Linked DNA regions of Kluyveromyces lactis. The protein of the gene in region 1 interacts with the protein of each later gene in a pairwise test. Links are inferred from orthologs where the notes say so. Each region holds a gene or a part of one and is shown on either strand. Other genes may lie near its edges.

Region 1 (2,955 bases):
AACGTAAATATGGCATGCGAGCGGCTGGATTCCATATTCATCCGAGTTGATGCAACAGATCTTTTTGAGTCACCTATAGACAAATACTCCAACACTTCTTCCACTCTGTTTACTTTGAAAGTAGTGATGTCCTGTACAAAAGTTTTCTTATCATTTGTTTCACGCACCCTCGGCGATGTATCGCCTAATAAATCTATAAGTTTCTCGTTGTAAATCTCAAAGTATGTTATTGACACGGAAGATACCGTTGTTTTATCCAGTTCTAAGGCATCAAATAAGTCACGGCAAAGTAACGGGATAATTCCTGGGTTTGAATTAGTCCCACGCATTGTGTATGTTTTACCAGATCCCGTCTGTCCATATGCAAAAATGCAAGCATTATAACCTTCCAGGGCATGCAAGACGTACTTGGAACATAACTCTCCAGGTATATCAGTCTGTGATGACGATGTATCAAATATATGATCGAAATTGAATGACCTCAGTGGTGGTTCCACAGTAGATATAGTTTGATTTTGAACCTTAAAATTCGTCTTCGTGTGTACCGGTCGTAAACGAATAACAACCTGCACATTTTCACTCATAGTGTGTTACCGTCCACTTCAGTATGGAATGTGCAACCAAATGAACATTGCCTATTCCTTTTGAGTTAACTGAGCAAGTTGCATGCCTTGTACAATACACTTTTCAGTTCTTATTCCATTTTATAGTGTTTTAAGAATTGTTTACTTTTCGAATTTAATGTGATGTGTCAAATCTTGTGTAATGTTGAAAATATACGTTGAAAGAGTACATCCAACTAAAAACCAAGCATTGACCTTGTTGTCTAAATGTTGAATTGTTTATTTTAGAAGAGTGAAAGCATTAATATAAGTACGCGTCTGAAAAATATTTGCAAGAATTGACGGTAACGATGTAAGCGACTATGTTATCTATTATGATTTTTGTACGTGAATGTACTTTCTCTTGCAAAAAAGAATAAAAGTGTAAATGGTAATTTATATCAGTAAGGTTTCAAAATTGAATTCGCTATGTTAAATGAAGGGGTTAAGTACATACAATACATAGTACCCTCAAGTGATCTTCACTTGTCGAATCTCCAGTCTTAAACCAGCGATTACGGTGTGTCACTTTCATTATATCAAAAATCGACAGTACATATTTACTGTTACCCGCAAATGTGACAGCGCTATGTAGAATTTCTTTTGAAAGATTTTATGCATCCCAATGGTCAACTTCATCGAGATGAGTAGAAGATAAGATCATTGTTTATGAAACAGCCAAAAACATCCCATTATCGTGTAACACACCGCTATACAGTCAGACAAATCAAGTCTCCATGTTTACACCACCGACTGATCCGAAGAAATCCGTCAAGGTAAAGGTCTCACAGCTCTGTGAACTATGCCATGCGAGAAAGGCAGTGATGAAAAGACCGAAGAATTTACAACGGATCTGTAAAGAGTGTTTCTTCTCTGTATTCGAGACAGAAATACATAACACCATTGTATCAAACAACCTTTTTCACCGAGGCGAACGTATTGCAGTCGGTGCTTCTGGAGGTAAAGATTCCACGGTCTTAGCATACGTTTTAAAGCTTTTGAATGATCGCCATGATTATGGAGTTGAGATTGTTCTTTTGAGTATTGATGAGGGTATTGTCGGATATAGAGACGATTCGTTAGCTACAGTGAAGAGAAATCAAGTACAGTATGACCTTCCGTTGGAAATAGTATCTTATAAAGATTTGTACAATTGGACAATGGATGAGATCGTAGCATGCGCTGGCATAAGAAACAGTTGTACCTATTGCGGAGTCTTCAGGCGACAAGCTCTAGACAGAGGAGCTGCCAAGCTAGGAATCAAACATGTAGTTACTGGTCATAATGCGGATGATATGGCGGAAACCGTCTTGATGAACATTTTACGTGGTGATGTTGCCAGGCTGGAAAAATCAACATCCATTCTTACTCAGAGTAGTGGGTCACCGATCAAGAGGTCGAAGCCGTTCAAGTATTCATACCAAAAGGAAATTGTCTTGTATGCCCACTATAAGAAATTAGACTACTTTTCAACCGAGTGTTCTTATGCCCCGGAAGCGTTTAGAGGTACCGCTAGAGAACTCATGAAGAACCTGGAAGCAATCAGACCAAGTTGCATTATCGACATCATTCACAGCGGAGAAAGCTTGAAGCTAAAACCAAAGCGCGCTAAGAAGGCACCACCACCAAGTCACATGGAAATACGGCCCGATGGCTCAGTGTCATTACAAAATGAGTTTATCGATGGAAACAGATGCGAAAGATGCGGATATCTTTCCAGTAATAAGATATGTAAAGCGTGCATGCTTTTAGAGGGATTGGAACAAAACAGAGCTAAGATCCAACTTGAAAAAGATTCAACTACTGAGGGAGCTGCAAAACTATCAAGAACTCTTGAGAAATTACAGTTCTGAACTATTAGCTGCTCATTTTAGTACTCCTTCCTGCATGTCTTTACTAAATATTACCATATTTATAATTATTTTATTTACATCTCAAAATCGTTACAGTTGCACATTTTTTTTTGATGAATGCAATTTAACTGCAGTATTTCAGATATAATAGAAGTTCTAATAATGCATGATGAACAATACAAAGACGGAAAATACACAACGGTGTAGGATAACAAAACACGATAACGGTCGTTGAGACCGCATTAACAATTTAACAACAATGAGGTCTTTTATAAAAACTCATAAAAGAGCTTCATCTTTAGATAATAGCCCCAGAAAATCTTCCAACGAAAGTCCCGAAAACAGGAGAAACTCACAAGGTTCTTTTGGGACTGAGCTATCTTATCCATCAGGGTACCCACCTAACAATGTTTTAAAGCAATCTTCAAGTTTCGAGCCGCTTCATAAACTTACTAGTAACAAAATTTTCAGTTCTAAGTTGTTTAAGAAAAGCTCCAATG
Region 2 (2,235 bases), on another chromosome or scaffold:
AATTAAACGTAACGTAAACGTATTGAGAAACGATTTGAGACGAATCATCGAAAGAGTCGAGTATCTATTGCCACTTGAATTTGAATCGCTTAATAAGCAAAACGCAACTGTAGGAAAGATGCAGACGCTTGAAATGGGAGATAGCAACGAGGATTCAGATCTAAATCTAGATTCTTTGATCGCTTTTGCAAAAGTGGTGGACGTAAAATTAGGATCTCCAAGTCATGACGCAGGATTACAAACAGATGATCTTATCATTAAATTCGGCACCGTACATGCCCTTAACCACAATAATCTATCCAATATCGGTAAACTTGTTCAAACTCGTATAGATGAAGAGATCGTACTTAAGATAAAGAGAAATAATGATATCGTTACTATACAGTTGGTACCTAGGTCCTGGCAAGGCGCAGGGTTACTAGGATGCAGGATAATACAAATTTGAATGAGAGGACAGCATATAATGCATATATATTCAACATCTCGGCAGTTTTTCCAGATCATCCACCGTGTAGCGTTGAGGTGAACGAAACAACGTCACCGTCTTCCAATACGTACTCTTTTTCACCTTCAAGTTCCCAATCGGTATCGTTGATCAAAGTCAAAATTCCTGGTCTGATACTATCGTTCTCTAAGAAAACATTCACGTCACCTTCATGTTCAATAAGGTTATCTACGATCCATTGGATTAAATCTCCGACATTGATCTCATCCTTCCCATCCAGTTGAACATCCACTTTATATTGTCTCTGTTTCTTGACAATAACATCCAATCCACCTAGAAATTCAATAATAACTCTGACCATTGTGGATTAATTTATCTGATATGTCCTAGTTTGACCTTGACCTGTATGTGATGTTTAATCAGTATCTCAGTAGTGACATGTCAAAGCTCATCATTATATTTCTTGGGTCCTTGGTTTCTGCTGAGAGGGAAAACTCACAAAAAAAAAAAATCGGGTGGAAATGACTTTGTCAGGTCGATCGGTACACCAATCCCCAAATTCTCTTCAATAACAATTAATATGCTCGCGTGGCGTAATGGCAACGCGTCTGACTTCTAATCAGAAGATTGTGGGTTCGACCCCCACCGTGAGTGCTTTATTTTTTTCTCATTTTTTCCCATTTTTCTGCTCATTCATAGCTTTCCTTTAGAAGTCACGGGACCGAGTATACCAAATAAAACTAAAGTACCAACTATACCGTATAGTTAGTTACCCAACCGCAGGATATACACCTCACACAAAAATGGCATTCCCTCTCCAACAAATTGTCCATTCTTCCATCGATTTCTCTGTCACTTCCAGCTCCGTTCCGTTCCCTTCTTCCATACTATGGTGATGACTCTGAAAAATTTTTAAAGGCATCGAGAAAATTGCTGAGTAACACAGACAGACCTCTGCAGATGAGCGTACCTGCAAACCGGTTGATATTTCTTAGACTTTGATTATGGATGACCAGGGTAAATGAGTCAGTCAAGCTGCAAAGGGAAAGAAAATGTCATCAGGTTAATCAACGATTTGCCAAGTGCATTATGAGTAATAAAAAAAAGCTGATGATGTGTTGCTAACATTGATTCATATATATATACATACATTCAAAACTTGAAATCATTCATACCACCTTAATTTGGTTGGTAATTAAAAAGGAAAACCCATCAGGCACATAGAGAAGTAAAGAGTCATTAGAGCAAGATGCCATTCTACAAAGATCCTTCAGTGAAGTATAAACCATTCGTTAGCAACGTCAAATTACAGGACAGGAAATGGCCTAGTAAAACCCTTAATAAGGCTCCAAGATGGTTAGCTACCGATTTAAGAGATGGGAATCAGTCTTTACCTGACCCGATGAATTTGGAAGAGAAGAAACTGATGCTCGATAAGTTATGCGAATTGGGTTTCAAAGAGATTGAAGTTGCTTTCCCTAGTGCTTCTAATATCGATTTCCAATTCACTCAATATGCAGTGAAAAACGTACCAGAAGACGTTTCCATTCAAGTTCTTTCTCCATGTCGTGAACCCTTGATCGAACGTACCGTTGAATCTTTGGTCGGTGCCAAGAGAGCCATTGTACATATCTATCTCGCGACATCACCATGTTTCAGAGAAATCGTTTTCAACAATATGTCTCATGAAGAAAGTATTGAAAAGGCTGTGAAATGTGCCAAACTTGTTAGGTCCTTGACAAAAGACCATCCGGATAGACAAGATACCCATTGGTCATTTGAGTTTTCTC
Region 3 (3,156 bases), on another chromosome or scaffold:
CCTATATCTCAATCAATGAAAATCTGCTAGATCCTATTGATGCTTACTACTGAGTGTTATTTCCTGAGGCTTTCGTTCGTCCTGTTCCATACAATAGCTCAATGTTTACAAAACTTTTTATATATCATAATTAATTTTGCACTTTTCTACTTTTTTTTTCGATTACGGAAACTTCTTACCTATGGGAATCTCTGATGCTGCTCGTAATAATCCGTATTTGTGTTTGATCGGAATGGGAAGCTGCATTTTTTTTTTTTTCGGTTTGGGATCTGGAATATTTTTTGGGTCGAAATCTTTACATGTGGGGTCCGAAACCATGTTTTGGAGGGAGCGCGAGTCGGATTCCAATAGTTAGGAGCAATGGAGAATATTCGGAAAGACGGGTAATATCAATTCCTTTATGTCACGTGATCTGTACTTTCAACTTGTGTTATTATTTTCTTTTTTTGTTTATTCAGGTTCCGTTTGTTAGCTTATGTCGTTCAATATGGGAATGGAGGATCATGCTCATTATCAATAAATAATTCATGCTATTGATTAGAAAGTTACTTCTCATTAAGTACGCTATTTACATGCAGATGTGGTTGAATTATTCCCAAAATTCTCTTTTCTCTCTTCTGGCCTTCAACCACTGCTTTTTACACTCTCTGTAAGCGTCGAAATAGTCATGGCATAGGTCTCTGTCGTAGTTGTTTAATTCAAGGCACTTGAAAGACATTTTAGATGATTCCTGGCATGGGTCGTAGTATTCAGAAGCACCTTTCACTGCAAATCTGTATCTGTTCAACGTAGATTCTGGATCATCAGGATAGAACTTGTAGGTGTTGACATCAGTCTTTTCCGGTGTAAAATTGACCTTAGTCTTATTGAGTTCGAGACTGGGGTCGACGTTCTCTGCCACCTTTTCAGGCTGTTGCAGCTTTTCAGCTGGTTGTGTTGTTTCTTGTTTATCGGTCATTTGTTGTTAGTAAGGCAGTAAGTTGCTAGCTTGAGCCTTTTTTTTATTTTCCCCTTTACCAGTAACTCATCTGCTACTAGTTCATCTGGATTCATTTTAACATTTCAATATTTTACTATGGTTTTCAGAACTCCAAAATTTCTAGATTGAAATTTCATGTTAACAACCACAGTGAAATGAAAATAAAAAAAAAAAAAAAAGAAAATCAATCTCATCTCATCTCATCTCTTAATAGTAACTAGTCACTGAATCAAATAAAAGCCTGTTAATACGTGCTTGCAAACCTTATCGCTGCGTCCAACTATCATGGTCATTTGTAAAAGGTGTAAGCTGCTGGATGCAACTCTAGTCTCGAGAAAAGAACCATTTTGTGATGAATGTTTCGTGAAATTTATTTCTTTGAAACAGAGGAAGCAGATGATGTCTGATGACTACTTCCAAGATATATTCAAAATCTCATATCCAGATAAGAAACGTGGTCAGGCAGAAGCTGATAAGCAAAATCAAGATTCCAATGTTCTCGTGCCGCTTTCTTTGGGATCCTCTTCTTTGGCAGTTTTAGATATCTTGAACGATACTTTGTTGGAGCAGAAACAAACACACCGGGGAAAAACTGGATTTCACGTAGAAGTAATCACGATTTGTGGACAGGCAGAGTTTGAAGAAGTGCGCGGTAAGATTGAACTTCTGAAATCAAAATATAAAGAAAACTCCGATAAGATTCTGTTCCATATTGTTGACAGAAATCAATTCTTTGCCGTGCCGTTTGATCTGCAAGAAATTACACTGTACATTGATAACTTCAACACTCTGGTAAGATCATCAAATAATCCAAGTACTACTGTAGAGAAAGTGCTTGCCAGCGCGCCTAACAAAACAGCGAAAGAAGATCTTTTGAACATTATTTATACCCATTTGATTAAGAAATTTGCCTTACAAAGAAATTTCAAAGCCATCTTATGGGGTCACTCGATGACAAAGTTAGCTGATGAAGTCATTAGTCTGACTGTTAAAGGACGTGGTGCAGAAATCGCAGGTTATCTTGATGATTCTTCCCTCGATAGTAAATATAATACCGCCTTCAGAAACTTTCATCCAGGCCGGGACGTTTTACTGTCAGAAATTGATGCTTACTGTCATATAAAAGGGCTTTCGCAATTCTCTCATAATTATGTTGTCCAGGACACTTTGTTTTATGACAAATTTGTGGACAAGCCTACCAAAAATGTCAAACTTATCAAAAATATGACGATGAATGAACTCGCGAGACAGTATTTTGATAACATTGAAGGTGATTACTCAAACGTGATATCTACAGTTGTTAGAACAGGTGCAAAATTATCTAACCCTGATAATGAACTAAATCAAATCATGCACTGTAGTATTTGCAATGCCATTATTTATAAGAATCCAGTAAATTGGCTTGACGGTATCACAGTTAGCAAGCCATTTGTGATTCATAATGAGGAAGAACTGACCAACTACAATGCCTGGGAGGCAGCTAATCCAGACAAAGCCGAAAAACTAAACAAAATGAGTGATACTCCTGCCAAGAATGTAGGCGTGTGTTACGGTTGTATTACCACTCTAACTGGCATGAAAGATAGAAAGTTAGAGTGGATACGAAGAGATGATAAAGCAGAACTAACAGCGGTTCTTCAAGAGTATGAAATCCCATCAGATGATTCTGAACAATAATAGATTTAGCTCTTTCAATTATACAGCTGAACTATCAAAATATTCCTTAGATGAAAAGTCTCATATATAAATATATGTAAGTGAAATTGCGAAATGCTGTAATGTCTCATCTTTTCAAGATACTCAATAATTCAGATGAAGGGTTGGAAGGAGTTTCTTGAACAGGAGCATTTGGCTTGTGTAATATATTCAAAAGTTCTTGCTGTTTAGTAAAACCTTGGTTTGGTGCAGGTTGTCCCATGTTAAGTGGCTGAGGTTGCATAGGATATCCATTAATCGGTTGCTGATATTGGAATTGCTGCTGAGGAGAGAAGCCTTGGGGAATATATGACATATTTTGGGGAGGATAACCTGGAGGTGGCATCATTTGCTGCATTTGCTGCATTTGGAAAGGCTGTTGAGGCTGTACTTGCAGAGGAGGCATCCTATTGTATTGGGTGTTGTGTGTCACAGGATCGTCCGATATTTGCGAGTTTAGGCCGGTCTTGGGATTCTTCAAT

Evidence for each region.
Region 2: the proteins of NCS6 (region 1) and URM1 interact in binary tests that used the Saccharomyces cerevisiae proteins (3 or more experiments, as listed by UniProt). The link is inferred for Kluyveromyces lactis from reciprocal best matches to the Saccharomyces cerevisiae genes NCS6 and URM1.
Region 3: the proteins of NCS6 (region 1) and NCS2 interact in binary tests that used the Saccharomyces cerevisiae proteins (3 or more experiments, as listed by UniProt). The link is inferred for Kluyveromyces lactis from reciprocal best matches to the Saccharomyces cerevisiae genes NCS6 and NCS2.

What each region holds. Positions count from the first base shown.
Region 1 is NC_006038.1:57,594-60,548, reverse strand, and holds NCS6 (Ncs6p), read left to right. Parts: upstream 1-1,339; coding exon 1,340-2,455; downstream 2,456-2,955. Other genes in the region: KLLA0_B00759g (kinesin family protein), read right to left, coding at 1-584; ZRG8 (Zrg8p), read left to right, coding at 2,715-2,955. UniProt on the Saccharomyces cerevisiae protein: Plays a central role in 2-thiolation of mcm(5)S(2)U at tRNA wobble positions of tRNA(Lys), tRNA(Glu) and tRNA(Gln). Directly binds tRNAs and probably acts by catalyzing adenylation of tRNAs, an intermediate required for 2-thiolation.
Region 2 is NC_006040.1:1,211,633-1,213,867, forward strand, and holds URM1 (ubiquitin-related modifier URM1), read right to left. Parts: upstream 807-2,235; coding exon 501-806; downstream 1-500. Other genes in the region: NAS2 (Nas2p), read left to right, coding at 1-445; KLLA0_D14201g (2-isopropylmalate synthase), read left to right, coding at 1,695-2,235.
Region 3 is NC_006042.1:2,237,222-2,240,377, reverse strand, and holds NCS2 (Ncs2p), read left to right. Parts: upstream 1-1,264; coding exon 1,265-2,656; downstream 2,657-3,156. Other genes in the region: COX23 (Cox23p), read right to left, coding at 590-958; DCP2 (decapping enzyme complex catalytic subunit), read right to left, coding at 2,763-3,156. UniProt on the Saccharomyces cerevisiae protein: Plays a central role in 2-thiolation of mcm(5)S(2)U at tRNA wobble positions of tRNA(Lys), tRNA(Glu) and tRNA(Gln). May act by forming a heterodimer with NCS6 that ligates sulfur from thiocarboxylated URM1 onto the uridine of tRNAs at wobble position.